Linked DNA regions of Astyanax mexicanus. The protein of the gene in region 2 binds, or shares a complex with, the protein of the main gene of each other region. Links are inferred from orthologs where the notes say so. Each region holds a gene or a part of one and is shown on either strand. Other genes may lie near its edges.

The links.
Region 1: the proteins of serpina10b (region 2) and proza are in contact, whole or in part, in a crystal structure (PDB 3H5C), measured with the Homo sapiens proteins. The link is inferred for Astyanax mexicanus from reciprocal best matches to the Homo sapiens genes SERPINA10 and PROZ. Residues at the interface, in NP_001094077.1 of Homo sapiens: Arg88, Lys89, Ser91, Met92, His94, Asp95, His257, Asp259, Lys260, Tyr261, Asn282, Phe283, Lys305, Met306, Asp308, His309, Leu310, Ala311, Leu312, Asp314, Tyr315, Leu316; in NP_003882.1 of Homo sapiens: Cys129, Pro131, Cys141, Leu142, Pro143, Ser151, His250, Met251, Arg252, Asp254, Ala257, Glu259, Asn260, Glu284, Lys285, Asp286, Phe287, His290, Leu291, Thr336, Thr337, Arg338, Arg390, Ser392, Leu393, Trp394, Gln397.

What each region holds. Positions count from the first base shown.
Region 1 is NC_064426.1:12,401,029-12,417,861, reverse strand, and holds the start of proza (protein Z, vitamin K-dependent plasma glycoprotein a), read right to left. Parts: upstream 7,195-16,833; 5' UTR 6,989-7,194; intron 3,446-6,988; 5' UTR 3,405-3,445; coding exon 3,329-3,404; intron 2,344-3,328; coding exon 2,174-2,343; intron 1,829-2,173; coding exon 1,804-1,828; intron 1-1,803. UniProt on the Homo sapiens protein: Appears to assist hemostasis by binding thrombin and promoting its association with phospholipid vesicles. Inhibits activity of the coagulation protease factor Xa in the presence of SERPINA10, calcium and phospholipids.
Region 2 is NC_064421.1:14,476,394-14,492,224, forward strand, and holds serpina10b (protein Z-dependent protease inhibitor), read right to left. Parts: upstream 8,123-15,831; 5' UTR 8,019-8,122; intron 7,685-8,018; 5' UTR 7,661-7,684; coding exon 7,063-7,660; intron 6,951-7,062; coding exon 6,677-6,950; intron 6,093-6,676; coding exon 5,945-6,092; intron 5,519-5,944; coding exon 5,327-5,518; 3' UTR 5,219-5,326; downstream 1-5,218. Other genes in the region: atxn3 (ataxin-3), read right to left, coding at 10,569-10,606, 10,804-10,856, 10,967-11,126, 11,726-11,889, 12,187-12,322, 12,434-12,521, 12,612-12,678, 12,777-12,862 and 3 more. UniProt on the Homo sapiens protein: Inhibits activity of the coagulation protease factor Xa in the presence of PROZ, calcium and phospholipids. Also inhibits factor XIa in the absence of cofactors.

The DNA.
Region 1 (16,833 bases), on a different chromosome or scaffold from region 2:
AGCTTGAAGAAAAAAGAAAAACACCTTTGGCATAAAGCTGAGAACAGACACTAAAAAGTATGAACAATTAACATCTAAATATGAGCTTACATACAGTGCCTTGCGAAAGTATTCACCCCCTTTACATTTTTCACATTTTGTTACCTCACAACCTGGAATTCAAAGGGAATATTTGAGGGTCTGCATCATTTAATTTACAGACCATGCATACAACTTTCAACATTTAACTTTTTTTTTATTGTGAAGCAAACAACAAATAGGACAAAATAACTGAAAACATCAGTGTGCATAACTATTCACCCCCGTAAGTCAGTACTTTGTAGAGCCACCTTTTGCAGCAATTACAGCTGCAAGTCGCTTTGGATAAGTCTCTATGAGCTTGCCACATCTTGCCACTGAAATTTTTGCCCATTCCTCATGGCAAAACTGCTCCAGCTCCTTCAAGTTAGATGGTTTCCGTTGGTGAACAGCAATCTTCAAGTCTGACCACAGATTCTCAATTGGATTAAGGTCTGGGCTTTGACTAGGCCATTCCAATATGTTTACACGTTTCCTCTTGAACCACTCAAGTGTTGCTTTAGCAGTATGCTTTGGATCATTGTCCTGTTGGAAGGTAAATCTCCGCCCTAGTCTCAAATCACTGACAGACGTAAACAGGTTTTGCTCAAGAATATCCCTGTATTTAGCACCATCCGTCTTCCCCTCCACTCTGACCAGTTTTCCACTCCCTGCTGCTGAAAAACATCCCCACAGCATGATGCTTCCACCACCATGTTTCACTGTGGGGATGGTGTTCTTGGGGTGATGAGATGTGTTGGGTTTGCGCCAGACATAGCGTTTTCCTTGGTGGCCAAAAAGTTCAATTTTGGTCTCATCTGACCACAGTACCTTCCTCCATACAGTTTGGGAGTCTCCCACAGGCCTTTTTGCAAACTCGAAACGAGCCTTCCTATTTTTGCCTGTAAGTAAAGTTTTTTTTCTGGCCACTCTTCCATTAAAGCCCAACTCTATGGAGTGTACGGCTTATTGTGGTCTTGAACAGATATTCCAGTCTCTGCTTGGGAACTCTGCAGCTCCTTCAGGGTTACCTTTGGTCTCTGTGCTGCCTCTCTGATTAATGCCCTCCTTGACCGGGCTGAGAGTTTTGGTGGGCGGCCCTCTCTTGGCAGGTTTGTTGTGGTACCATGTTCTTTCCATTTGATGATGATGGATTTGATGGTGCTCCGGGGGATCATCAGAGATTTGGATATTTTTTATAACCCAACCCTGACTTATACTTCTCTACAACTTTATCCCTGACTTGCTTGGAGAGCTCCTTGGTCTTCATGGTGTTGTTTGGTTAGCTTAATGGTGTTGCAGCCTCTGGGGCCTTTCAGAAAAGGTGTGTATATACTGACAGATCATGTGACACTTAGATTGCACACAGGTGGCCTTCATTTCATTAAGCATGTGACTTCTGAACAATGGGGGTGAATACATATGCACATGCCAATTTTCAGTTTTTTATTTTCATATTTTCTTTATATACATATATATATTTATTTTCTCATTTCACTTCTAAAACGTAGACTATTGTGTGCAGATGCATCACATTCAATTCAGATAAAAATAATACATACATTACAGGTTGTAATGTAGTAAAATAGGGAAATAATCCAAGGGGGTGAATACTTTTGCAAGGCACTGTAGTTCCTTATATTGGTAGAAACTATAAGAATAAACATGCATAATGAATAAAACAGATATAACAATTCCTCATTTTTATTAAGTAATCTGCCTAAAAGCACTAAAAATGCTACTTACCAATGTACACAGACCAGAATATATCCTAAAAAAAGAGAAAAAGTAAATTACATGTATGCTAACTGGTAGTGGTACATGATTCAAAAACAGTGTTTTCACAGGCACTGGCAAACAACTTAAAAAAAAAGCAGTTATAACAAAAAAAGAATCTGATAAGAATATTTGATAAGAATATTTAATATAAGTAAATCTTGAAAAATGCCAGTCAGCTGTCAGAACGTGCAGATCACATTTCTAAGGCAAAACAAGACATATAGTTACCCAAAGAATACTTGAATCTGCGTAGCCATGATATTAGCCTTACATTTTACCTACCATTAATTTGCACCCTGTGTTTTATGAAGTATTAAATTGAAGGTGAGGGACTCACAGTGCGATAAGTGTCCTGAAACACCTCTCTTGCTTCTTCATAATTACAGACCTCCTCCAGACATTCCCTCTCAAGACTGGCAGGGAGTGTATTCTCCTCCTGTCCTGCATTGGCTCTCTTCTGACGATATATAACTTCACTGGCCTCCTTCTGTTCAAGGAACACTGGAACTGAAACACAATATACAGTACAGCTTCCTAAACAAATTATTCCAAGAATCAGGAAATTGACAAAAAATATTTGTCACTTTAGTTCTTTACTTGAATTACAAACTACAACTAAAGACATATTACTGTAACTACTCTTATACAAGTTTAACAAGCGTAAACTGTGTTTTTTTTATATAAGCAACATTAGAAATTAATTATATGAACAATGCTGAATACTGATAGTTTGAATGTGAGGAGAAGTAATTTAAAGGAGAACTCTGGTGTAAAATGGACTTTTGGTGTAGTAAAGCATGGACTCTACATAGACTCCGTATAGTGCAGCAGCCAGCACCAAGAGTAATGGCGGCGCTCTGAGCTAAAGCTCGCGTTATAGGATGTAAATAGTGGTTTTTAATAAGCTTCTCATGCACTTTTTACGTTTTAAATACCTCGTTTTAAATGTCAGGGCTCTCCGGATTTTAGCAAGAAGGTGTGGAGCTAATATGAGCTGGATAACAATAGAAAAAGCGATTTATCGGGTCAAATTATGCCACGTGTCACCCAATCTGAAGGGTTTTTGTACAAACTGTTAAAATTTCTGGATCTCGGAAAGCTGTGGGAGAACGGAGATGTGTCATTCATCAAATGTAGGTACTTTTTATCATGTTTTACTACAACAAAAGTCCATTTCCAGTTCTTCTTTAAGAATAAACATGTAATAAACATATATATATATATATATATATATATATATATATATATATATATATATATATATTTGTGTTTTATAAATTAGGATATCAAACTACCAAATATCATACATTAATGTAAGACAGTAGATAGTAGTAGTAAACAGCTAGTTTGCTAAAAGAAAAAAGTAAACATAACTCACAAAATAATCAACTTTTGTTCAACTGAAAACATTAAAATATATATATATATACATAAATTGTGACCAAGCATTCTGATTTATGCAGATTTAAAAAAGAAAAAAAAAAGGCTTTACCTCTGTTGATGCCCAGTCTAGCAGTCACACAGCCCAGCAGAAAAGTGATTAAAACTGCTGTAACCAGGCAGCCCATTGTACTGAATCCCTTCGAGTTAGCTGGTAGTCTGTGTACTCCTGTTATTGAATTTTAAAATGGCATTAAAAACAAGCTATAACACAGTGATTACCTTTTTATATAAAAAATGTACACTACTTAGATATATTATGAAAAAAAAATAAATAAATCTAGAAGAACTAAATCATAGTAACTGAAAACAATGTAATTTTATAAAATAACAAAATTTTTACACTATGTAATACAGCATGGTTTTAAGCTTATGCATTAGCAGTCCAATTGTAAATCTATTATTGAAGTAAAGTTCAGAAGTTTGTAGTTTGAGACACTATTTGCTTTGGGCACCCCTGGTCAAACTTACTCTTAAAGTTAAAAATAAAATTACCCCAAAAGGCATAAATCTAAAGATGAAACACTTTTGAACATTTGAAGCAATATCAGTGTATTATTTTAATTTTGTACAATTTCATTGTTCAGCGACACCTGCAGAAATATGACCTATATGCAAGAGTCAGCAAAAGAAATACTCAGCTTCAGAAGTTTGCAAAAGACATCTAAACCCTAAAGCCCTAATAATTTTTTAACAAATCCTGGGGGCCGATCAGTTTAAAATAAAACTTTTTGGCTGCAATGAGCAAAGATATATTTGGAGAAAAAGGGCTCACAAAATGAATTCCCTTCTTGTTGAATAATTAGTAATATCTTCCTTTGAAAGTAATCAAATGAACAACTCAAAAGTCTTTATTTTCTTTAAACAGAGGCATTACATCAATACTAAACCACTAAATATACTTAAGATACTGAGTCAGCTTCTACAATATTAACTGTTTCAAGATACCTGAACACACAGCTGTAGATTCATCTACATCTTTCCAGAGCTACACCCATTAGAATAGAGGCTAATACAGGTAGCTTCAAATTCAAACATTTTGCAGCTTTTTTTATGTGCATGTGTGGGCCAAGATTTGCCCAAAGGAAACCATGACTGCTCTGCTGAATGGTTAACTAAAGTGATTGGCTTGAATCACAGGCATGAACTCAGATGCTATGCCAGTACTTGTTAAAGCCACAAGGGGGTGTTTGAACCATGTGAAATGCCTCTCATATAAAGCTATACCAGAGCTATAGCAGAACCACAACACTGTTGTTGCTTCCAAAGATCAACAGTTCCTCGAATGGCCTAAATGTTTGGACAACAATGAAGACTTGGGTTTAGGTAATTTGGGAATTGTTGTATTTTTTCCACAATGAGAACGTTTTTAATAAACTGTTTTACAGAGTATGTTTTTAATGTTAATTTGTAGTCCATATAATAATATCTGTAAAAAATTCATGAGGTAATATATGCTGTAAAACTTCATTGTTAAATACATTTTAATTGTGTGTATATTTTAATTGTGTATTATTTAGTATTGATGTAATGCCTCTGTTTAAAGAAAATACAGACATCTGAGTTGTTCATTTGATTACTTCCATGTAATTTTAATTCTACTTCCTGCAATTTGAATTTGAACTGAAATTCATGTTAATATTCAAGAATTGAATTGGAATTTATGGGTCATTCTCAATTCAATTCAGAATATTCCAATATCCGGTTATACTCATATATCAGCAGATTGCTTCAGCTGTAAAATATTACCATTAGTCAGCACATAGTCAATCTTACTGTAATGAATGCCAGACATGGGTGAGACACATGCAGATTAGAAACAGAGAATATGTAAAAAAAAAAAAAAAAAAAAAAAAAAAGGAACAGAACTACAGGGAAATCCAAGCACAGGGAGCTTTCGACAAGAAAACAAGGGACCAGGTAAACATTCCATATTTTTGTCATTCTGGTTGTGGTATTTAGAAATAATTGTGAGATTATGTTTAACACTATTAAAAAGATAAACATCAGTAGATTTAGCTAACCATTAAGTGAGAAATAGCTCATGCTTATTAACACGTTCTGTTTAGTCCTAAGAGGTAGAATGTGACTCTTAACTCCTTATTAAGTTTACAGTGTAAAGTAAAGCATTTAATTTACCAATACAGTGTTAGTAACAACAGATTGAGCATATAAGTAATTAACTGTGTGTGATGTTTTTTAAAGCTTCATCATATTAGAGATCTTCATTTTCTGACCATTTATTACTATAGAATGATGAAAACGGGACACAATTCTTTTTGGAAAAAAGCTAAATCCTTCCTCCAGTATTTACATCACATTTCAATGTAATAAAAAGCACGTCTAAGCTAAGGACATCTCTACATCAGAGACCAAGTTGGAAGGATGACAGGAGTTCAATATAGTCTTTTTCTTTCTTTTTCTTTTAAGAAAACATTACATAACAAAATAGGCAAAATAGTTTTAGCATTTTTTTTATGTCTGACACTGATACTGCAGCCTAATGATACTGAAGAAAGAGCTTACGCTTATTTACATGTTCAGTTTGTTTAGTCCATGTGTCCAATTCAAGGCTAATTTAGATTTTTTGAAAGTTTGATGCAACATTCGCTATTTGATTAAAAATGACTAAGTCATACGTGCCGGATAGCTGTTCTTTTTATCCTAGTTGAAATATGTCTTAATGTAAGCAATAAACATAAACAGATTTTTGTTAGGCTGAAAATTATTTTGTATTTATTAAAATGGCATGAATATTTATTGACAATTAAACTAAAAAACTTCATTCATCAATTATTATGTATGTTACGCACACCCAAACCCCCCAACAACTCACCCCCCACCCCACGCGCCTTTTCTCTGGCTGATCCAGTCACGTGATCACACTCATGCAAACAAAGCAGCAGACAAATGCATTTGTTGCCACTGTAATGTCAACGAAGCTCAGTGCAGATGTGATCATGATGTTCTGATAATTGTCTTACAATATCGCAGAAACACAGTATTGTAATAACTGGCAATGTATTGTAGTTGACAAGCCTACCTCAAATTATTAGCCAGGCGGTTTCAATAGGGTGGTCCATGTTACGTTTATACTTCTCCGTAGACTTGTTATATAATTAAATTATTAATTGAACTCCAATCACTGCCATGTTTACAGGTGTATTAACCCTAGCGGTTAGTCATTCAGACTGCTTCTACAAACATTAGTAAAAGAATGGGTCGCTCTCATGAACTCCATGAATTCCAGCGTGGTACCGTGATAGGATGCAGTACCTGTGCATCAAGTCGTGAAATTTCCTCACTACTAAATATTCCACAGTCAATTAACTGTCAGAGATATTATAACACCGTGTTATTATAATATTACTAAATTATAACAAAGTCTTACAATAAACGAAGTCAACAGGAAGTAAATAAGGATAATGTAAAACATAATGGTAGTGGACCAACAGTGGGTATGCTTTTTCGGGGTAATTTATACATTATAATACGATATTAAAGCACAGGATACTTGTATGCAGTATATTTTAAAGAGCGATATTCAACATTTCGCGGATATTCGCAGTGCCAGTTTCCGTTGTGTTGCGTCCACACTTAAGCTAGATTTTAGGTTTAGATATCGAACTACAAAACCACCGTTTGTGCTATTTAGGCAGGGGAGGCCCTTTAGTCGCATGTTCTTTGCAGCGCAACTACTAGGTCTACTCACCTTCTCAGAGAGATGCGTGATTTAACGCGGGTTATCTTGCAAAGTTCTCAACCTTTCTGCTCTGTATCTTGGGATGTGTGATCGCTTGTAAAATGATTTCCCGTGTATATTGATCCACTATTTCAGGACGTAACTGCAGTATACCCTCTCTGTCCTCACTCACTGTGTCAGTAGTTATTATTTTCTCCTCCATTAGAGGGAGCCCTTGAAATATCCAGAGCGCTGCACACCACTGTGGTGTCCAATCCGCTTAGCCTGCCTCCTTGCGTTCTCAGACGGCCGCCATATTGGAGGGGCCAATGCGCCTTCAGTGCATTTATTAGTACTTAAGGAGGTGTATAATACATAATACAATATTACAAGTCAACCATTTTCCCAATTTTTACACGGTTTGGTTTGTTACAATCAGCAAAGATGTAGTTATAATATAGATCGCTGTCACACATTACAAATACCTGCTACTGCATTATGCTATTTAAATTCAAGCTGACCTGATGTGTGTGTGTGTATATATATATACACACACACACATCAGGTCAGCTTGAATTTAAATAATGCAGTAGCAGGTATTTGTAATGTGTGACAGCGATAATATAACACTTAATATTAACCTGTATAAATAAATTTATTTATACAGGTTAATATGACATACCATACATCTGTTTTTGTAAAAGAGCACAATACAAAATATTTCAGCATGAACGCACATACTTGTAATGTGTAACAGCGTCCTGTATCATTACTACATCTGTGACGTTTGTAACAAACCAAGACGTGTGAAAATCGGGTAACAATTGGTAAAGTTGTGATTATTATAGGTGTATTATACGCCTTCCTTAGTACTAATAAATGCACTGGGGGCGCACTAGTCCCCTCCAATATGGCGGTCGGTCCTGAGGTAGGACCCTCAGGCAGCTTTCGCGACGCCTGTTAAAAAAAAAGTTATTTACTCCAAACACGATGCAGTGTTGCCAACTTAGCGACTTTGTCGCTATATTTAGCGACTTTTCAGACACTCTGGCGATTTTTTTTTTTTGTAAAAAAAAAGCGACTAGCGACAAATCTAGCGAGTTTTTGTGGTGTTATTGGAGACTTTTGGCGACTCTGAGATGAACACGCGCTCTTCAGTTACTGTCCTCCGCGCTGCAGCGGGCGCTGCCGTCAGCCCCGCCCCACACCACTCACACTGCAGTCTGAGTGTAAGAGCACACACACCGCTCCACCAACACAATGCAAATTAATCGCGCGAGCCCACAGCCGCCGCTGACTGAGCCCGCTCTGTATTTACAGAGCAGAAGTATTAATATTAATGTGTCTGCAGTGTGACACGAACAGAAATCCCTTAATTTAACTCACACAGTATCAGTCATTCACTCACCTCATTCACCACATAGCCTGTCACTCACCTCCTCCACAGTGTCTGCCTCTTTATAAAGCTAAATATCTATTGAACCATTGAACAATTTGTATATGATAGGTTTAAAAATAAAGAAAACTTAAGAAAACGTAAAAATTAAAAACAAAATAAAACAAAGCTTAATACAAAACTAAAAAAAAATAAATAAAATAAAACAAAGCTAAATATCTATTGAACCATTGAACAATTTGTCTATGATAGGTTAAAAAAATAAAGAAAACTTAAAAAATAAAATAAAACAAAAAACGTAGACTAACAGTTCCGGCTAACTGCTGCTCTTATAATAACATTTAAGAACATGGCAAAAAACGTATTTATGTAATTCACATAAAAATGAAGTTACTGTAAAAAAGTGACCTCCTATTTAAAAAGCAACAGAAGTTGTTCATTTGTAACATTTCTAACACATTTATGGTGTTTTTACTCACTTTTTTCTCTCCCACAACCCTAATCCTTTACAGCTTCAAAAACATGTATTATGCAAATTAGGCGATGACGTCATTTCGCGACTTCCAGCGACTTTTAGGAAAGCCAATAGCTACTTTCCTTACTGAGGAGTTGGCCACACTGTCACGATGTTTGGGAACCAATCCAAGTCAAGTCAAGTCAAGTCAAGTCAAGAGGCTTTTATTGTCATTACATCTGAGTACAGGTACACAGTGTGATGAAATTACGTTCCTCCGGAACCATGGTGCAACATAGAACAACAAGCAATAGACAACATAAAGTGCAGGAGTGACGACAGTGCAACATAAAATTATAAAATTATAACGTTAAATAACAATAAATACAAAGGACGAGACAATTTAAAGACAGGACAGTGCAGTACCGATACGGTATAATAAGTGTATAGTGGGGATAAGGTGCAGAGATGTGTGACATACTGTAACATATAGAACATATATAATCACAGCAGTTACTGAGGTAGAGTTTATAGTTTTTAAGAGTGCAGCAAATAAAGTCATGTCAGCCTCTGTGTGCTGACTGGGTGTGTGTGTGGGTGAAGTTCAGTTCTTGTGAGTGTAAAGGGGGGGGTGTACAGTTTAGTTTTGTGTGAGTGTGTTGGGTGAGTGGTGGGTGGGGTGGGGGTTCAGTTCTGTCTCTGTGCGTTGAGAAGTCTGACTGCCTGGTGGATGAAGCTGTTGCAGAGTCTAGTAGTGGAGGCTCGGATGCTCCTGTAGACTGCAGAGTCCGTGTGAGGGATGGGTGGGGTCGTCCACAATGCTGGTGGCTTTGTGGATGCAGTGTGTGGTGTAGATCTCGGCGATGGAGGGAAGAGAGACTCCGATGATTTTCTCAGCTGTCCGCACTATCCGCTGTAGGGTCTTGCGGTCTCCTCATTTTTTTATCCTGACGCAAATATTAATGTATTGCTTCATATAACCATTCACTGTAAAATGTGGTTGCCCCTTAATTAAGCGCTGCCGTTTCAAGAAAACCGCAGCAGTTTTCACACACACTCTACACACTTTTTGTCAGTTCTGTCTGCTTTACGGCAAAATCACGCAGCTCCCATAGGAATGCATAGGCAGGAGAGCACGTGGCTCAGACGATTAGGCGCGAAGGGAGAGAGAGGTCTGATAGCTGCCGCTAGCTCCAGCTGCCGTCATATTATTAACTCGTGTTTACTGATTCTCCTGCTAGGTGAGCATTGTCCGCTTACAGGGCATCCTAGTTCATAATTATGAAGAGCTTTATATGTTTTATTTGTTTCATAAAAATAGCACTAAATGTGTTTAAAAGTTCTGCCGAAGTAGACAAGCTTCAGTTTAAGCTTGAAACTCTAGTTTATCTGCTCTGTATTGGTGCATTATATGTTCTCTACATGCTTTAAGCATGCAACTCAAATGTTTTGAGTAGAATATTAAGTGTATTTTAATTACTTAAAATGCTCTTTATATGCTTTAAATATAAGCATTTAGTTCCAGAAGTTTTGGGTGACATATTAAGTTGTGTTTTATTAACTTTAATCGCTCTGCTTATGCTTTAAATAGAAGCATATAATTCAAGTGTTTTGAGTGAAATGTTAAATGTATTTTATTGACTTTATATCGCTCTTTATATGCTTTAAATATAAGCTTTTAGTTCAAGTGTTTTAAGCGAAATACTAGAGGTATTTCTAGTGTATGTTTGTTTAATAAGCTTATTGTAAAACAGTATTTGGGTATTTTCATTTTTATTAATGTGTACTTATTGATTTAGTGTTCTCTGTATAAGATTAAATTCTGCTCAGACTATTAGGCGAGGGAGAGAGAGGTCTGATAGCTGCAGCTAGCTCCAGCTGCCGTCATATTATTAACTTGTGTTTACTGATTCTCCTGCTAGACTGGTGGTGTGCTCAAGCTAGTTTCCAGACTGGCTTCAGGGTCGCGCAGAGTGAGAGAGAGTGAGGCGGAGAGTGAGACGGAGAGTGAGGGAGAGTGAGACGGCCGCATCTGCTCTAAACCTTTCTTGGATCACTTAAGTATACGGAATTGAGTTTTAATTTTTTTTTATTTTTTTGGGTACCCAAATAGTTTTTTTTTTTCCCTTCAATTTTTTTCTCCCGGAGTACGAATTGTTCAAGGACTGTTCCAATTCCCTTTTTTTGTCTACTTCACAAACACTTAAAGGGACTGTTCTCTGGAAAACAAATATACTTTTAAAGGTTAAAGAGCTCTTCCATATTGTTCAGTGAATATACTTATTTTTGGGTTTAATCACATTCATACAAGGTGAATTCAGTGTGTGACTGTGTACATTTTATATAAATATATGTATATATTTTTATTTTTATACTCATATTATTTTCATAAGTGTCTCTGTATATAAAATAATTGATATCTTTTATTCATTGCTAAGAGAAAGAAACGCTCCAGTCCACTAAACTCTTATTAAGTTGGACACAGGTAGTACACTGCTACCGACCCAAAATAAATGCCCTTCACTACCAGTTATATCAGTTTCTTTTGTGGCTTATTTATTTGGCTTGGAACATTTTAAAGTTTGGTTACATATTGCTTCATATAACCCTTCACTGTAAAATGTGTTTCTTCTTAAATGCTAAATAAACGCCCTGACTTTTCAGGCGATGGAAGTCTTGGCTCAACTTTGAATAACGCTGCAAAGGAGGGGTAGTTTGAGAGACGCAGTGCAGTGATGTATAGATTTTCAGGTGGGGCAGTACGGTGGTCGAGAAAGCCCAACGCAGTGCAAATTGAAAAGCGCTGAAAAAGCACACATGAAAGATGCTGTACCAGCTGTGTACAAAGGACAAGTGGCAAACAAGCTTCTGAAAAGTAAGTTATGTTTATTACCTGTGATTACCACGGTTGTGTGCATATTATTAAAAGTTCTGCTTCACAAAACACCTTGTTTGCCACTTATTGTCCTTTGTACACATAGTGAAGTCCGAGACGTTACTGAAGACGCAGCTTAGCTGGTACAGCATCTTTTAAGGTCCCCCAGGAAAATTCCATTGTGTTGTGACTCACTTCCGTTGTGTTGTGGTTGTATTTGCAGCGCGTTTTTCTATTTGCAGCGCGTTTTTCTATTTGCAGCGCGTTTTTCTATTTGCAGCGCCTGTGTTGTAATTTTGATGGATGTGTTTTGTGCTTTTGCAGCGCTTTTCAATTTGCACTGCGTTGGGCTTTCTCGGCCACCGTAGGGCAGGGAGAGAAAGCCTAGTGATGTGCATTATTGCTGTATACTAGTGTTGGGAAAAACCGCACTACCCTTTACAGCGCCATTTCCAGTGCGTTCCCCCTGAATTCTTTTAAATGGTTGAGATGAGTAGAGAAGTCAAGAGGAGTCAGGATACCAAGTTTTCAGCAAATTTAACAGTTTATTTCAGAAGATCTTCCGGGAACAATACTCCGCTCAGAGAGTCAAGGAGAATGTTCTAAAACCAAATGACATACACAAGATTATATAGATCATCCCACTATGGTGTGGGTGAAGAAGGTTGAACAGCCCGCCCCTTTGGTCCCATAAACTGTATCCTATCGTGCCATGACCCCATGCCTGCCTGCCACCTACGTCTTCAGTATAATAAATCTATTGTCCTCCCGCCTGGTTCTGGCAACATAATTTCAGTAGAAGTTAGCTCCTTATATTTGGTCTGAGGGGACGGGTCAACCTCCCTCACTCTCAAGGTCTAACTAACCACAGATGGCTACACATGTGTTGTGAAACATTCTTGTGCAAAACTTAATTAAACTACATTTGTTATATGATTCTAAAGAGTACTGTGTCTGTTAACATATGATCACCAACATGAATAAAGATTACAAAGTGCTAAATAATTCCATTTTGAATACAGGTAACATATAGATTGATTAACATATTGATTAAACCTTATTAAAATCACTAATGGATTATACTGATTGGGTTTTCATTAAGTATTTTGTATGATTATAGGGCAACATACAATTTTGTATGATTAAAGGGTTATATGTTTTAACCCTTAATTGATAGTTTCCATGATTATAAGACAATGTTTTAACCTTTAAATTCTCAACACTAGTAAATCTAAAAAAAAAAAAAATAGAATATCATTAAAAGGTTACTTTATTTCAGTAATAAAGTTCAAAATGTGAAACTCTCATATAGATGTATTACAAACAAATTGATCTATTTTAATAGTTTATTTCTTTTACTGTTGATTATTATTAAAAAAAAAATCAGTGTCTCAGAAAATTAGAATATTAGTGTGGGCAGTGTGTCAATTCCTACTGGAACATGAAATTTGCATCTCTATGAAAATTGTCAGCAGAGGGAGGTATTAAGTGCTGTAAGATTTTCCAGGAAAACACTGCACTGACTTGGAACTTGATATAACACAGTGGACCAACACCAGCAGATGACATGTCTCTCCAAATAATGACAGATTGTGAAACTTCACATTAGACCTCAAGCAGCTTGAACTGTGTCCCTTTCCACTCTTCCTCCAGATTCTGCTCCCTTGATTTCCAAATAAAATGTCAAATTCACCGATGGTCAGTGATGGTTTGGAGAGCCATGTCATCTGCTGGTGTTGGTTCACTGTGTTTTATCAAGTCCAAAGTTAGTTCAGTGTTTTTCCAGACAATCTTACAGCACTTCATGCTTCCGTCTGCTGACAACTTGGATTTCATTTATGGATTTAATTTTCCAGCAGGACTGGCACACTGCCAAAAGTACCAATTGGTCTAATATAATATTCAAATTTTCTGACATACTGATTTTTGGGTTTTCATTGGTTGTAAGTGATAATCATCAACAGTAAAATAAATAAATGCTTAAAATAGATCACTCTGTGTTTAATACATCAATGAAATAAAGTACATTTTTAATGATTTTCTATATTTTTGAGATGCACCAGTATATGTTAGCAACCTGAGAATATGGAGAGTGGTACAGAATCCACAGGCACTTTTGGTACTGAGTGATCTTCTAACAAGGAAGATTTTTCACCACCACCAGCCCCATCTTCACCATCTTTTGTTCAGGGTTTCTTCAGTCTTACTTGTGTGATCCATGAACCTCTTTGCTTAAATTCCCTTGGAGCTAACATTAGCACAGAGGTATCATAGGAAAGTTTAGAAGGTCCGTGTACATTTTGACTGTTTGATTCTTCAACTGAATAGAGAACGGAGGAAATTAAAAAGCAACTTGTTTTTTTTTTTTGTTGTTGTTTAGTTTAAACACATGACAGGTTTGCGTGCAAAGTCCTTCTCCAATCAGGAACTAGATACCAATCCCACCACAACTGACAAAAAAAAACCTCTAGACAAAATTTATGGTGGAGGTAACTGAAAAACCAGCTCAAGGCCAGCTGGTCATCCAGAAAACATACCCTATATTGGTCAATAGCTAGTTAACGAGATTCATATAGAGTATGCTTTTTCTGGATAAACAGGTGGCCTTGAGTTGGATTTTTTTAGCATGGAAGTATATTAATACCACTGAGGGAATCTACAGATCTTGGAAGCAAAAATTCAGTATGACAGGTCGGCCAACACAATTAGATTTTATTTGATGAAAGATTAGCGCCATCCCCTCGTAATTCTTGTAAATCCCGGATAATAAGACGTATCTTGTTTATGATCATTTGGGTTCAAGCGCGTTGTGCGTAATTTGTAATTACATGTGTGATTACTTGTCATGTCAGAGCATGCACTCCTTTGTTTAAATTTTTTACTTGTTTGGTCAAAAAACTTTTTGAAAAGGTCAATCTAAATTTTGAAAAGGTCAATCTAAACACAACTTTGTGAACATCCAGAGGTGAGTTTCCCGTACAACGTCGGAGCCTAGTATTCAACTAACGTGTTACGTTGCATCGTTAAACTAACTAACATCTGAAGTACGAACGTTTCCCAAAACCATCATACTTTGTTGGTACCACAGAAGTCTGAACTATGTTGGTTTGGACCACCGTGGTCTTAACTAAGGTATTTCCAGACGTGATTGGTCAGTCTTTCCCACACTCTAAAAACACTGGGTAGAAATTGACCCAAATAAGGTTGTTTTCACAACCCAGTGCTTGGTCAGTATTGCACAAACACAGCATTGGGTAGAATTGACCCAGCATATTGGGTTATTCATATGACAATGCATTTTGGGTTAAGCATTCAATCCAAACGCTATGTAATTTTAACTACTTTGCTGGGTTAACTGAACCAAAATTTGGGTTGATTTTTAAGTATGACTAAATGTAAAATTTAGACCTTTAATGAAAGTTTTTTTACACTATAAACATTGGGAAAAAAATAAAATACATAAGTATAAACAATAAAATGCTTTATTGTATAATTACATTATGATCATTTCTCAAAGTCATTTCTTAACAACAATAGGCATCAACAACAACCATTTCTTTTCCCCAATAATGACCACAAAGGATTGCGAGCAGTGCTGATCATCACCTAGAAAAAAAATAATCCTTTATTAGTCCTACAGTGCTGAAACAGCAGAAAACAAAAAAATCTCAACACATAAAACCTGCATTGAACATTAAAATACTATACAGTGGTATGTTGGCATGTACCTAGAGCAAAAAAACAAATGGGTATGGTCTTGTGACTTGTGCCTCAGACAGGAACTCCCCATAATAGTCCCAACATGTTGTAAAGAGGGGGAATTTAAAACAGAATTAGTTCTTTTATTGCTTTGAATTAGTACTAACATGCTTAAATAACACATGCTGAGCGTAAGCTGCTATCAATCCAATGTTTGTATTACAATACAATTTACATCAGAAGAGAACACTTTCATCTAAAACCTTATAGACAAGTCAGTTCACTTTGTGACCATCTTTGCAACACGACCGGACGCTTATGTAATACAAGACTTATGTAGTGCAATACTTTCACATAGGGCCATGTTGGTTCTTTTAATAAAATAAATCATTTTTTAATAGTTTTAAAATTTCTCAGATTATATTATTAAATGTGTGTATTAGTCTAAAAAATGCAAGTGACAAAAAGGCAAAATGAAAATAAATATGTAAGGTGGCCAATACTTTTTCACAACAATGTATATTAACTTACCGATTGCAGATCAATAATTTTTTTTTTTTTGTCTCTTCGTAGCTCGGACGGAAGCTCTTCCGACCTCTTCACCTTGCGCATCTGAAAACAAAACAAAACAAAAAACATTTTATTAGGAATAATACAAGGTTAATATACTTTTTAATCCATGACTTTTTCATGACTTCTCAGCAACTTATCTTGACCATATGATCTTTAAAACATTAGTGCAGATGTGGACAATAAAACAAAAAATCTATCAAAAAACTTCAGTATAAATATTTTGATGGAATCGTTTTTTTTTTTTTTAAACGAATTTGGCAGATATCTGGCTGTCGAGAAACAAGTTAGTATTAACAGGAATATATGTACATGATGAAAAAATGGCTAAATTTAGCAAAGCTATTTTCACACGCACACACTATCTAAACTATATACCTTATTTGCACTACCGTTATACGGGTTCTATTTATACTGTCATTCCATCTCAATCACCATCAATATTGCACTATTGTCTTTCGTCTTACTTATGTTTATTGTGTCTTGTTGTTTTGTACATTTAGTGTCTCCCACTCTCACAGATTATATATCTTATTTCTTTTTACTTATATTTATATATCTAATTCCCCCCCACCACTACTGCACCTTGTTTTTGTCTCATGTATGTCTATTTGTGTCCCTGCTGTATTGTACACATAGTGTCTCCCATTCTTTCTTTTATTACATCTATTATCTGTAACTTACCTGCTGTAAAATTGGGAAGGAGAGTAACATAATTTCAATTCTCTGTATGTCCTGTACATATGCAGTATTGACAATAAAACTACTTGACTTGACTTGACTTACCTCATTTAGTTTTCTGAGGTGTCACCTCAGTTTCAGTCTGGGACCAATCACAGGAACTAGCGCCACATTGGAAGCATCGTCCAGTAAAAGAAAAC
Region 2 (15,831 bases):
AGATTTTGGAGTTCAAACTTGTGTCTTTAATAGTATATAAATGGTTCTTCAATGATTTTCTGCTCTCCTTAAGGGGCTCCAAAATCTGGTTCATGCTAGAATGAATATACACTTTTTTGTACTACATGATGTCCCATTAACTCCAAAATGCTACAATAATATAACTTGTGCTTATGTCATTAATAGTATGTAAAGGTTTATAAGGATTTCATGGTGCCATTTGATACGTTTGATTTGCTGGTTTAATATGACTCCAAACTCTAGACTATATATAACGAAATATACATCTGCCATTCCATTAATTCTAATTCTTACAGTATCATTATTTGAAACACAGTGAAACTATTACTACAGTGAATGTGTTGATGATGCATCATGACAAACCTTTAATTATGTTTTACATACAACCAAATATGCATTTTCCCCTAATTGGGTGATTCTCACGAAATCAGACTAATGAGGTGGCATTAAGGAGTGTGATGAACAGGTAAATGCTATCAATTTGGGAAACACTGGTTTATAAACATCTCATCAAAGGCTATATTGGAAGTGATTAAAAGTAGACATTGTGATATTTTAAATTATGTATTTTTTATAATTTAGTGTGAAATTCTCAGTACCGCAACGCGTCCATTGCTGAATCTCGGCTCTTCAATTACACAATTTTAATATTTAAAATAAATAAATAATAAAAAACTTAAATGTATCTCATAAAGTAAATTGTTACAGTCAATAAAAATGTATTACTTGGAATTCATTGGTAAAAGAAAAGAAAATATTTAGAAAAATAACTTTGGTCAGAACCAATGTTCTCAGCCTCCGCAACAATTTTCAAGCACCATTTAAGACCACAAGGAACAGAAAAAAAACAGCCATTTTGAGAGGGGGGACACCTTTTAGTATGACACCCAAGATGGCTACCAGGTAAGCACCTAATTTTATACCTCTCCAGATAAATGTTAAAAACTTGGTTGTCAGCGAGCATACACAACTTTTTGTTTCTCATTACCGAAACAGCTAGTTTTTAATGTTTAAAAAAATGAAAATGTTATTGTGTTTTGGGAATTTTTAAGGTTTTTAAAGTCTAAATACAAAAAGCTAGCAAAAGTTTAGCCAGGCATCATGGTGGCCCCACAGAGATCAAAGAAGGTTAAGGTCCCTCATACTCCGCAACAGCCTTCTCATACACCGCAACAATTTAAGGCCTGTTGCGGTAGAGAGATTCACTGTTGCGGTAAAGAGAAATTAATGTTTTAAGTGACATGAACTTATATATATATATATATATATATATATATATATATATATATTGTTTCATAAAAAAGCCTTTATTTACTTATAATAAACAATATATAAAACAATACATGATGCAATTTCAGATAAAAAACAGATTTATGTAGCAGGGCAGTGACACCCATATAACTTCCGCATAAGATATAAAAATAATATATAAAAATAATAATAATAATAATAATATATATATATATATATATAATATATATAATTTTCATATATATAATATATACATTTCATGAAACAACTTTTATTGTTATAAACTGTTAATAAAGGTTGTTTCATGAAATTTATTTTTATAAACTTTTATTGTTATAAACTGTTTATATGTATATATATATATATATATATATATATATATATATATATATATATATATATATATATATATATACACATTTTATGAAACAACCTTTATTAACAGTTTATAACAATAAAAGTTGTTTCATGAAATGTATATATTATATATATGAAATTTATATATATACACACATATATACATTTCATTAAACAACTTTCTTTAATTTTATCTTTAATTTTAATTTAGTTGCACATTGATGTTTACATTTTTCATGAGATTAATGCTTAATACAAAGATGTTTAATGAGATGTTGAATTGCTTGTTTCATACTTAAATATTTAATTTCAATTTAGTTGTACATTGATGTTTATATCTGTCATGAAATTAATACTTAATAAAAAAGTTGTTTTATGAGATGTTGAATTACTTATTTTGTATTTAAACATTCCATTTCAATTTAGTTATACAGTGATGTTTAAAGTTTTAAGGAATTTATGTCTAATGAGGTATGTTGAAATTTGTTTTATTAAAATACACAGTTCAAAATAGGATATTTTCACAGCTTGAGTCTTACTGAGAATAATTTTCAACAGCAAATACCACATTTTGTTCAATATTACTACTCCATACAAAACTCAAGAAGTACATCATTAGAATTTGTTATTTATTCACAGCATTCACACTCTGTGTTTGTTGTGTAAAGTGTTATTGTTAATTAAGTAGGAATCCTTGTAATGACTCTCTTTACCGAAACATTGACTCTCTTTACCGAAACACCATTCTCTTTACCGCAACACATATTTATTTACTAATTATTTTACTGTTATAAAACAAATTCTAGTTTATAATGGTATTTGGATAAATTGTATTTCTTCATAGGTCATCTGTACTAAATAAGAAATTATACATGTAATTTTTCAGTTAAATATCCTGAAAAGACAGGACATGAATCATGAAATCTGTTGCGGTAATGAGACAAATCATAAAATAAAAAAAAATGGGAAACTTATAAATATAATATTTTCTGGGTTATATACACATATGAGCACAACTGTTAATAATATCTATTTAAAAAGTAACAAATGTGTAACTTTTAAACCATATCTGTTCTGTGTTATCATGTTGCGGTACTGAGAATGTGTGTGCTCTGACTGACTAAAATGGTGCAAAATATACAGAAAAAAATTATAAAATTAAAAAAAAAAAGTATTTCTAAAAAGTTCAGACCCTAGTCTTGCATAACAAAAAGAAATTTTATATTTAAATGCCTTTTGAAATTTTTCAAGTGTGAACCCTTTTAAATCTGTTTTTCGTGAGAATCACCCAATTGTGCCATTCTAGTACTCCAAATTCCTACGGTTATATAATTTGAAATTAAACGTTAATAGTACGAATATTTTTAAGAGTGTTTGTCAAGACATCAGTTGTGTCATTTGATAACTTGATTTTTTTCCCTTTATAATAAGATTATAAATTGTCGTATACTGTAACGTTACATAACCTGGCTCTACATTTCCAAAATGTTACACTGGTGTATATTTGTTGGCTAGAACTGGTTACAACAAGCTTGTTGAGCTGTAAAAGTCGTTTTCTTTTTATTTGCAGCTTCTTCCCCTTAATACCACCTTCTAAAATTTCTGTTTTATAAATGTAGGGTTTTTTTCATTACTCTAGTTAGCTAAGCTAGCCAACATAGCTAACTAACCTAACTAATGCACGAGTTAACGCAAATGCAGCTGTTCAGTATCAGAAACACACATGGCTAGCTTATCCCAACAGGTCTTTCTGGCTAAACTAAAGGTTAATTACCGAAGTTAACAGAAATATACGGTGTTCAGTGTCAAATAATGATAAATATTAGACTTAAAAACTAATTTAACTCAAAAACAGACAGCCTTGTTTGAGAGACTCGTGTTTGCCAACGTGGTATTAGTGCTTAAACACAGCCTGCTGTAAATATGATCTTCTTTACTGCATTAAACACAAGAGGGAACATTAAAATTTCTAATGATAAGCTTAAGAGAGAATTGTACTCACAGTATTAATCCTCTCCTCCTGTTTAATACGCTGCTCGTGTCCAAGCACAGCTCCTCACACACATGCCCAACACGCGGACGCAGCCATTACACCAGTGACGACAAAACAGGGTTGCCAGATATTGCTAACCCACTACATTTAAAGTAGAACTGAAATCCCCCTTTTCCAGATTTATGGTTTTCTATTGAACAGTGTTTCTTTTAAACATGGTAAAAAGACAAATTGTATCAGTAGAAATAAATTCGGATTATATCAATTACTTAAGCCCTCAGATAACCTCACTGTAAGATTACGATAACTTGAAGGAGATTTTGAATAAATTAATAAATAAAAGTCAACAACCTAAACTTTCCTGCCATAAATTGGCCTACTCTCATATTTCTTTCAGTTCTTAAAGCGCAATGCTGTGTAACAGTAAATCAAGGTTGCCAAATTTTATTTAAATAACTTTTTTCCCCCTAATTAAACACAATCCATTTCTACATAATAATGGCAGCGTATTTGTGTTTTTTCTGATTGTGGGAACATGACTGTTAATATATTAATGTAATGTAATGTACATAAATTAATTATGTATTGTAACATTTAGTTCCAGAAATCTAAGTAATGTACATTGAATTAGTACCATTTGAATGGTTAAACGAATGGAACATTCAATATAAAATGAGTTAGTTAGTTTTAACCCATTCTGTTGGTAAGGTCAGATGAATGAACACAGATACACACTGTGCTGTGATGCTCTGAAGATGTTCCGTATATGTCACTTAGGAACTTAATGAATTAAAGCGAAGGACAGAGGGCTGTAAAGAACTTTCCAATTATTTTAAATGGTCTGTGATACAACACCATGGGCTCTTTTGTACTAATGTGATACTATGTGAAATCAGTTTTTATATATATTTTACTATTCTTCCAGTAAACAGTTACCACACTCTTTTCCATTACATGTATGCTCAAAAATGATTTAATTCAATGACTGTAGAAAACTTGCACAGTCTGTTTCTCATTTTCTCCTCTAAACTGTGACCAAAGTTTCCAGTGTCTAATTTTAATATCTAGGAGTTTCTTGCACCAACATTGTCAAAAAAATCCATTCAAAATATTCTTCTTCTCTACTGTAGAAAGTCAGTGTTTCCCTGAAAAAAATAAGTGATTGACAGGCTTGACTGGAAGAGACTGCCTGCAGAGTTGAAGAGAACTGCATGATACTATAAATACAGGAATATCTGACATTTTCACTTAAGCCTGAATAAAAATAACCTTATAACCTCCTATGTTATGTGCCAAACATTGTACTGATGCTTTCAAAAACAGATCTCACCCATTCAACTCCAACAGAAGTGAGATGTAGTATCTGGCACAACAACCTTAGCAGCAAATTCTTTATGTCCTTGTCAAAGTCGTTCAATTTGTTCCTGCTTCCAAGACACCAACTTCAATAATTGACTGTTCACATGCTGCCTAAAATGTATATCCCACCCAGTGTTCTTTACTTAATCTCACAGTAGTTTTAAAGTGTTGTTGGTCAGTGTATATGCAAGTATCTCCCTTTCCAATTCTTCCTAGAGATAAATGAAGGAAACCAGATAATATGGATATTAGTTTTAATCCCAGAGAAGACAGAAGTGAACATGATCAGAGCTGAAAAATAACTGATTCTTATCAGGGCACGATGAGATGGCAGCACTGGCTGATTCAGTACTTTGTGGGGTCAATCACTCTGCCCATGAAGAGCAGACTGTTGGTTGCTTCATGGTATATAAAGAAGAAGAAAGGCCTGTTCACAGTGAAGGTAGTCGGCATAGAGTATGCAGTGATTCCCACGGTTGTTGCTGCTGCAGCTACAGTGCCTTTCTCGTCCACTTCAATCACAGCTTTGTGCAGAACCTGAACACACATGAAGAATTAATAATAAGTGAAGAACAGTTTATTATACTGTACACAGTTTCTGTACTTTTATATATTATATCCAACTGAACTATGTAGGCGACACGTTATCATCCTGGCCAACAGTGTTTTTTATTATCAACTATGAAATTAATGCCACTGCTGTAATGCTAAATCACTGCCTCTTCATTGGTCTGTTATTTCCTTTAGCAGCTGACCAAACCTGGCAGTTCTCTTTTAATAAGAGGTCATAGTTTCTTGAAAACATATTAATAAAATGCACCATAATGACTTGGCAAAAATATTTTTTACAATCGTCTGTAAAGTTGCAGTTTTGGAGATTTATTTTGTTTTGCATGACAGTGACATACAGACAGTAATCAGTATAATAAAGCAGCTATGTCACATATAAATATTCACACTGACCTGTGAGACTTTTATACCAGATTCCTGACTCATGCCTTTGAGGTTAGCCGAGTATGTGAAGACATTCTGAATTCCCATGGATGGAAGAATCTTGTGCAAAGAATATGACTGTTCCAATTTAAATTTGGGTATGTAGACTTCCAGTTTTCTAGGAATGCAAAAGAAAGCAATATTAAAATCCAACAACTTTGCTGTATTGCTTTAGCATATTTATGTCAGTTATTTAATTTACTTGTAAATATAATTTCATTGTAATAAAACAATGTAATAAATCCTGATGGAAACACTAGTGTTTGCAAAAAATAATTAAATGCTAAAATACATGGCGTTGTTGCAAGAAAGTTGCAAAAAGATAGACCTACAGAAGAAAGTTTGAACAAAGTTTCTACATTAATCGTTTTTTAAACTCATTGAATTGATCCTGGAAGAATAAAGATAAGAATTAGGAAAATAACCTAACAGATGATAACCTCAAGACCTGATTTTATTAGAAGCTATTTTCAGCTTGTCTAAGCTTGTCTTTTATAGTTAATTAATTTTGTCATTAACTTGATAATGCTTGGGATGATCAATCAGCTTTGTGATGTTAGTCATGGTTGTCAATCAGACTGTACATTAGCTAAACTCAAACAAAAACATACCCTATGCTGATCAAGAATTAAGACTGTTTGCCAGATTTTTAGCAGGGAATAACAAACATGAAAATGCATAATGTTGACATTTCAAACTTACGTTTTTTTCAGGTTCTTGATCCAGTTTAGAAACCTCTCAGCATTTATTTCATCATCTATGATGGTATAATCAACATTGCTGTCAGGAAGGACAATGAGCATAGCTGCGCCACCCAAATAGGGCAGACGCAACACCTTAGCCTTGAGCTCGTCATCACTGGCAATGTAGAACTTATCTGTACTAAACATCATTGGCACCTGGACAATATTATATTTGTCTATATAAAAGCGACTTTTTTCAGTGTTGTTTGGGTTGAAAGGTCTCTCCCAGGCACCTGGATATGAAAAAAAATCATAATAAGAAACCAATAACAGGTTCAGTTTTTTGCTTAAGACGAAACTCAAGATTTCAAAGGCAATTCAGTCTGCTGGTACATCATTACTCACCCTGAAAAAAAATGGTATTGATCAGCATCATCTGAGTCAGGGGTTCAATGCTGGACACTATCTCTTTCACTTTATCCCCAGTTTTCTTCCTCACATGTTTATTAATTGTCTCCTTACTGATGTCAGCTTTACCAAAGTCCACGTTTTCGACATCAGCATCAAAGAACTTTTTGATCTGATCACTGAAAGCCCTCTCTATTTGGAAATGCAGGTCCACGAAGAGTGCTGTTCCCTGGTCCAGTTTCAGCGCTCCGTCATGGGTGATGTTCCCCTGGAGGTGCTGGAAGAGCTGAGGAATGAGCTCAGGCTGCCCATTCTGCTCCAGCGTGTCCAGATTCAGCCCTGACAGGATTTGGCTGCGAGTGGAGTTCCTGGCTGCCAAAGATAGTGCGGCGAATGCTGTGGAAACACTCAGCGGCGAGAAGAAAATGTTGTTGTCGTGCTGGCTTGAAATCTTACGATAAAGGTTCATGGCAAAGTCTATATTCTTAAAGGTCAGATCAGTGATGTTAGGAGTTTCCTGAGTCTGGAGGCTAGACTTGAAAAAGGAAACACAAATAAAAAGGAACAGCAGCACTCTGTACTCCATCATCGTCATGATAATCTTCTTTCAAGGTTTGATCTGAAGAGATAAAATGTTTTAATAAACTAAAGATCAGCAGCTGTTTTCCCTAAAATGTATTTTAGGCTCTCTATAAACAACCAAAAATAAAAAATAAAAAAAATGTTGGCCTTATTAAACCTAAGCACCAAATGTATACAAAGATATGTACAGCGATCACTAGTTTTTAAACTGTAGAAACAATTGTCTTTATACAGGGAAAAAGACACAAAAATGGAAATTCAATTAATTAAAATACAGTTAAAGTGATATGCTAAAAAACTCAGAAACAAATAGAGGCAATGTATTATAGACGTTTATAAAAACACCATATATTGTTTGCCATATAACTTACCAATAAACACCAGGTAAAGATTGTGTTTCAGTCTGGTCTGTTCCCGATGTTTGGAGAAACAAAGTGCAAGTGAGCCCTGAGGATTATCTATTAACAATTGGATGTTTAAACATGGGGAGGTCCAGACAGCAAGTTTAATCCAAAACAAATCACAGGGAATGATTGAGTAATTGTCTTAATAACATTTAATATAAGGCACAGCTCTTTGTTTTTAAACTAAGAGAAAATGAGAAAGTCTTGGAAAATGTGCTCAAAAGTTATGTTCAACATTAGCAGGAAAATAGCCCAAAGCCAGGTTTCTCTATACTGTTTACACTGTTCTTTATAAAATAGACTTTCATCTAAACAGTTCATTATATTGTATCATACAGTTATTCCCACCCCTAATGGGTTGCCATGTATGTCCTTTTTGTAGAGTTCTTCAATTTTAGTTTGAACAGAGACAGAGACCTGTTGTGTGACAGTAACATACGGTAAGTGAAACCAGAGTGAAAAGACTTAAATCTAAAGACTGAAATCATTCAAAAGAACAAAATTATAAAATGTGGACACCATTCAACAGGGAAAAAACATCATTTAATTTCAGAAAGTAAAAAATCAGTAGCTACAAAGGTAATTGTTGGTATTGGTGCACGAGCATAATGATCACTTAATCTACTGCAGATGGCTGGGAGCAAGATTATGTACTAAAAGAAAAAGCTTTCGGCACTCACTATCTGCTTTAACAATGAATCAAGTCTCTGTAAGGAAGAAAAAGAATGAATTAAAAAAGGGGGTGAAAAGATGTATAATTTAATCTCTATAACAGCATCTTGTCTTGCTACCTATTAATAGGCATCATAACTTTTGAGACTGCTTGAAAAACCATCACCCGCACCACTGCTGCAGACATTAACCTCAACTATTTATTTGCAGCACTAATAAATTCAGTGAGATGTACCTGTATTTTCCGTAAAACTCCATTACTTTACTGCATTGGAAGTAGTGAGGAAGCAGTCTAATTTTAGCTGCTCTGTCAATGTTTATATGCCTTTACATTGACAGGCCAAAAGTCATGGGACAGCAGTATGGGGAGAGGAAAAAAAAATCATGAACAGTTACCTCAGGGGATGACTTCAGAATGCACACACCAGTATGAATTGTGAGGTGTTATATTGTAAATCAGGCTGAACACTGGCCAGCAGGAATTATCATATCAGAGTCAGATAGATAGGGCATTACATAATTAACATGACTGGCGGCATCTGGCAGGAATTGTCCATGTAAACAGAAAAGCAACTGTTGGCAGAAACATCCACATTCAGTGCAGAAGTCTCCACAGAAATAGCCCACAGATCCATGCAATGCAGTGCTTTCATGAGACATGGCAAGTTATTGAACACGATACTAGTTAATGTCCCATGACTTTTGGCACACCAGCGTACATACTAGCAACCAATGCATGTTATCCTTTAACAGATGCGTCATCTATGCGGGCATGGTGTGTACACACATGCACACACACACACACACACTCACAAAAAAAACACACACACATATACACACAGAAAGATTAAGGAACATTGTTGAAGTTCAAACAGCAGTAGCTGTTGGGTTATACTGAGAGCAAGGAATCCATGCAGTGTAAATACTGCTCACGGCTGTGGTCTCTCATTTAACAAGTGATCCTTGTGGTCTTAGGACAGTCAAATTAAACTTCAGCTGTGCAGAGCAGAATAAGACTCAACAATACATACATTTTTCATTCAGCTCATTTTTCCCCAAAATGAGATTCAAGCGGTCATACTGGACCCTTATCTGTGAAACCTTCACCAAGAAAAAGGTTGTATTGAGTTTCCTCAAGCAATCTCTTTAAAGCACCCCCTAGCGCATTACCCAGTCAGACTGACAAGGACACGGTCCCTCTTAAATTATGCCTGGCAAAAACAGATAAGACAGGGTATGGTGTGCCCAATAAACACAGACATCTAGTGGTCCTTAATAGCCTCTGCACCCTACAAATAAGGGTTTCAGGCTCCTTATCATTCTTTTCTGGGTGACATATTAATGAAAACATCCTCTCTCTAAGAAGGATTAACTCACCACAGCATAAGCATACTTGTTCCACTCCTATACCTCCTTTTCCACCATGAATCTGAAGAACTACAAACAGATCATTATTATGAAAATTATATTAGCATATTTAAAGGCGCTGTGGTAAAAAGGCCATAACAGACTTAAGCGAGAAAAACTGATCTGGGCTACCGAGCCCTCCCTTTTCCTCCAGACTTTACTTTACAAAGTAAAGTAGAAGTGCTCAGAACACTGCTTTAAACAGTAGATCATGGTACTACTTCCCATGAAAATGTCTGTTCTTTAAGTTCTGTCTATTTAAGAGCCTTGTGAGTGGATCTATAGGGTGGTGCATTAGTGATGAATGGCCATCTGGTCCTTCCTGACGTTCAAACCCGAGGCAGTCTAAAGAGGGAGGAAGCTGCTTGAGGTGGACGGGGCAGCTAGTAGTTGCTTGCTGTAGAGCTCTGGCTATAGATCCCCATAGTCACTGTGTCTTCACTGGCTGCGTTTATGCCCAGCGTCCGGTTCTCCCCCTGAGAATAAAAAAAAGCAAGGCATAAATGAATGAATATTAAAAAAAAAGTTATTTACACATTATTTGCTTTGTTTTACTCCAATTAAAAAATATCCCACTTGCATGTCTTGCTAAAAAACATTATACTTTTCAGTCAAGTATGTAAATAAACCTAGAGACCTTGTCAATGAAATCTAATTCATAATTTGGACCTACCAGTAAGTTTTGTGTCTGGTGAAGAGGCTGACTGAGCCTGTTGTTGGGACTGCCTGTATAGTATATTTTAAAAACAAAACAGAGCATATAGCAATGGTAAATAAGGCACAACTACAGGCAACAGTCATTTCATCTTAATAAGAGTGAGAATTAAGCTTCATGCCTGTCAAAATAGGCCTGTCTTCTCCTGCGAAGCTCCTCTGCTGTGAGGCTTTCACTTGGAGTGCTTTGTGACACGCCACCTGCAGTACTTTCTGTGGTGCTTGGAATTATGGTAGGTGTGGGTTCTTTAGTACCAATAATTGTGCTGCTCCCTGAAGCTCCTGGAATAAGGGGAAATAATCACTGTCAAGCAAACCAAAAATTTATTAAAATAGCTATATAAAGTGTATGAAATGAACACTCACTCTGACTGGGCATTTTTCCTGGGAATGTTCTTATATACACTGATAAGCACAAACATTATGGGTAGTACTTGAACTAGACAGCATTAATGGAGATTTTCCTTTGAATAACTATGCTTAATCGCTGTCTGGGAAACTGCCCATTGTAAGTTCTTACAATCAATGTGTTGAATAAGGGAGAAATGGGCAGGTGTGAAAAGCTGGGTCACTTTCACAAAGACCAAATTGTCTTTGGCAGCACCACCACCAAACAAAACTTAAAGAATCTACTAACATCAGATACCACAAGAGAGCTGGGGTGAGCCTTGTGAAAGACTAACAGCATATTAGACTGTTTTGCTCAACAGTGTAGACACAATTTGTGTAAAAATGGTAAAAATATCAATATTCGTGGTTCAACTTGGCAAAAATAAGTGGTGAAAGGTAAAATGGATTAGGTCAATAATATGCAGTTTTTATTTAGTTTGTAAAAGAAGAAACACCTGAGAATAAACAATAGAAACAGAAATATAGTATACCCTGCATACTGAGCTGTATGGCTCTGCGAAGGTCAGCCTCTTCATCCTCCACTTCAATATCCTGTCTGCTTAGAGCTAAAGCTTTCCTCAACTCCTCCTCATCTTCATCTATTACTCCTTCTTCCATACCGTGCCTAGTTTCCAAACCCTGCTGTACTGAGGGTCTGGAGAGCAAGAGAAAAAAAAAGACAATTTTGTTCATGTAGATGTAAAGCCAAAACCTACAGTGTGTGTCATATTACCAAGGATTGTGTTGATGTCTGTAAAACTTCTATTACATAATAATGAACCAGTAGAACCAAGTATTCCATAAAAATTTAATTTAATATGAACATGTTAATTGTTGATGCCAATTGATGCGCATTTTGGTTTAATAATATTAATAATCACTTTAACACAGTTAATGAAATTTAGGTTTGTTACATTTAAGAACACAATGGAGAGTGCTAATTAATCTATACCTTTGACCAGCACTTGTCTGGGCCTCATCCTCTCCAATGAGTTTTGGTCGGTGCTGCTGCTCCACTCTCATGATTCGCAAAATCTGGTCTGCCTCGCATTCAGGCAAGTTCCCTCGAATCACAAAGATGGAATACCCTAAAGACAAAACATGAACACACACATAGTAAAGGTTCTCTTTAAATACAGGGGAAACTCTTAACTTTAAATGTACTTGAACAGTTCCAAAGGTACTCAAAACGACTTTACCTTCTTGTTGTAGCTGTGCAAGGAAAAGTGCCAGGTATGTATCTGATATTAGTTCTGGTCCCGTTAAAAGCGAGTTCAAATTAAACCACTACAAAGAAGGACAAGCTATGTATAAGATTTTACTTCTCTTTAGTAGAATAATAATCAGACACTTTAAGGTATTGTTTAATGGTATTACCTGCTGGCCCAGCTTTCGTACTGTAAACCAGTGTTCCTTGTAGTTACATATAAAGGCTTTTTCATTTCTAAAATTAAAGACAAAATTTGAGTTAAACATTTAAAAATAACTACAACAGAAATACTAATTCGAGAACAGTTACACATAAAACATAAGGAAACTTACACCGGCTCTATCATTAGTCGCTGGTACTCCCGGCTGTTGAACAGGATCAGCTCCAAACCCCACACTCCTAAAGCATTACTTATCACCTGCAATGGCAACATAAATGCAGTTTAACTACAATTACAAAAGAAAAAAATGTTTTTTTATTTTTTTTATACAAGTATATTTTCTATAAACATCCTTAAAATATATGCTATTCCATGTCACGTCAGAACACAGATTTTGAACCCACTATAAGATCAGGAATTAAATGCATATTTGTGGATATTTGCTTGACAGTCTGGAGCATGCAGAACATTTCAGGTAAATAGCTTAACAAGCAACTGAACAAACTTTACTTGATGCTAAATGACTTTTGTACATTTGAATTAATCAATGTGTTTTTTTTAAGCTTATAAATAATAGTCTTATGTCAACACTTCCAATGCACTGGTGACATCTAGCAGTGTGGCATGGAATAGCACATTAATAAAACATTGGGAGTTGTTATTATTATTAATAACAAACCATTTTAAATAACAAAAAATTCTCACCTGAATGGAAAAGAACCCGCTGTCATCCATGTTTCCAGATGGTTGCTGGGATACAGAAAAACAACCAAAACATTGTTAAGCTGCTGAATAGCTTATTAACATTAACTGTGACCTCAACATCATACTTTTACTCACCTGTAAAAATGTCCTGTACTCCTCACTCAGCACACCCCCCTCAGCCATCCTCATCCGTTCCTCTTCATCCAGCTGCTGTGCAATCGACGACAAGTCCACTGGAGTGAAGTATTCACCCTGAAGTAGGTTGTTCAGGCAGTGCTGGGCACATAAAGAGCCCTCTTGCTGTAAGGCAATGAATTAGCATATTTTACATTCTGAAAATAGACAGAAACTACACATTTCTTCCACATAATAAAATATCAGACACATATTTTAAGGCAATGACTTTTAGATTAAACAATAGATGACAGTAGTGTAAACTCTTAGTAAAAAAAAACATTGAAAATACATTTTTATGGCTAAATTAAATGTTATGGCTAAAATTAATCTCCTAGCAAATCCTTAGAGCAATGTTTTATAATTTTGGCACAAAAAAAAATAATACAAATAAAAATCCATTGATTTCAGAAAAATATATGGCAGGTGCTAATAAACTGCTGGACACTAGTGATTTCACAATATTTCATAATATTTTTTGTGGGCGACATATTACCCCAAACATAATAGCAAAAAATTATATTGTATGCAACTGATAATATAGTAGCATATTAATGCACTAATCCCATTTTAAAGAGCAATGGACTTTTACTTTTTAAAAATGTTTAGACAGTCTCATAGTCCACATACAAACTCATTCACATTATTTTGCTTTTCTTGCTAAGAAAATTCTTTGGACATGGTCTGGAAAAATTATTGATGTAATTTCCATATAGTGTACGACAAGTCAATAACATAGTTATAGTGACAGGCCAACAGGACACATACTTTATTTTACAGACACCACCACCGCTAATAGACATGTGGACGACATTCCAAACAACCATTCTAGTAGCGCTGGAAAATATGGCCAAAAAGTATATTACGATACATTTCTTAATTTCTGTTATAAAATATAACGATATGAATTATATGAACAGCATAGTCACATGCTGATGAAGCTAGATGATATGGTAAATATATTATATCATAATATATGAAATTTTTGACATAATTTCCTGAATTTAAAATTAAAGTCCCAAATAAGTTAAAGCTAATTAATCTAGTTAGTCCAACAAAACAGAAAATAAGCAATCACAGTAACTTAGCTAGGTAAAGTAAGAACTAAATATTTACCAACTGTCAATAATTTAGACAGTAACTGCTGTTAATCATATACATTTAGTTAGTTAGTTAGTTAGTTAGCTATGCGCACTTAGGTTATAATTATTTTGGTTAGACAACTATCTGTAGCAGTGGGTAGCCCAGGTCCAGGAATTAAAAATCCACCGCAGGAATTTGTTCAAACCGCCAGTAAGGCACAGCTGCAGCACAGCCGCCCGGGCGGTTACACCCAAATCCCGGGCCGGATTTTTGCTTTCCGGAACTTCTTTTCCCAAACATTGAATTCTCAGCTACACCAACAGCGATACTATACCCATACAACCTCGAAAACATCAGAACACAATTAAAAATAAACCCAACAAGCACCCCCTAACTCACACGCTAGCTACTGCCCTGTAACCGGTCAAAACACCGCCTATCCGCTGACTGGTTATCAGTTAGCTAACGAGCTAGCTTAGCATGATAGCGAGCTAACAGCCTAGCAAAGAGCTAAGAGGAGCCAAAATAAACTCAGACACTTTCCCTAAACTCAGCTCTATCAGTCTTAATAACCACAGGACCGAGCGCGCCCAAACTGGCCGGTAACGAGCTTATAAAAACTGAGGAAAGAAAAGCAGAGCTCACTTTTTCGTGGAAGATAGACTCCATGTTTGAATTGTCTATGAAGCATCATAGCTACTGGCCAACTTTGACCCCGCGCGTGACATCAGCAGAGAGAGAGAGAGAGAGAGAGAGAGAGAGAGAGAGAGAGAGAGAGAGAGAGAGAGAGAGAGAGAGAGAGATGAATAAAAAATAAATAAAAATAAAATATAAAAAAATATTTTATATAATAAAAACACAAATATACCAAAAGACAATATATAATACATATAATATTCAAAACATATGGGGAAACAAAAGATAAACACAGAAAAACAAACAAATACAAAGTCAACTGCAAATCGCTTACTTCAACATCATCATTTATTGCACAAATACACACAAATTCTGGAAAATTTACCTAAAAGATTGTAATATGCATACTCCATCATAAATCGTGCAGTCACCATAACTAGAAACATCCACCATTTTTTGTTATTGTCATTGCTACTTTAGTTAATGCTTTAAAAATATTGGACTCGTAGTCTACAACTAAGGGAGAGAGATGTTAAAAAATGTAATATAAGGCTTTTGATGTTCTTGGTCCATATGGCCGTACCCACAAAAATTTTTTTCTAGGCTTCTTTTCATACTTTCTATTTCTA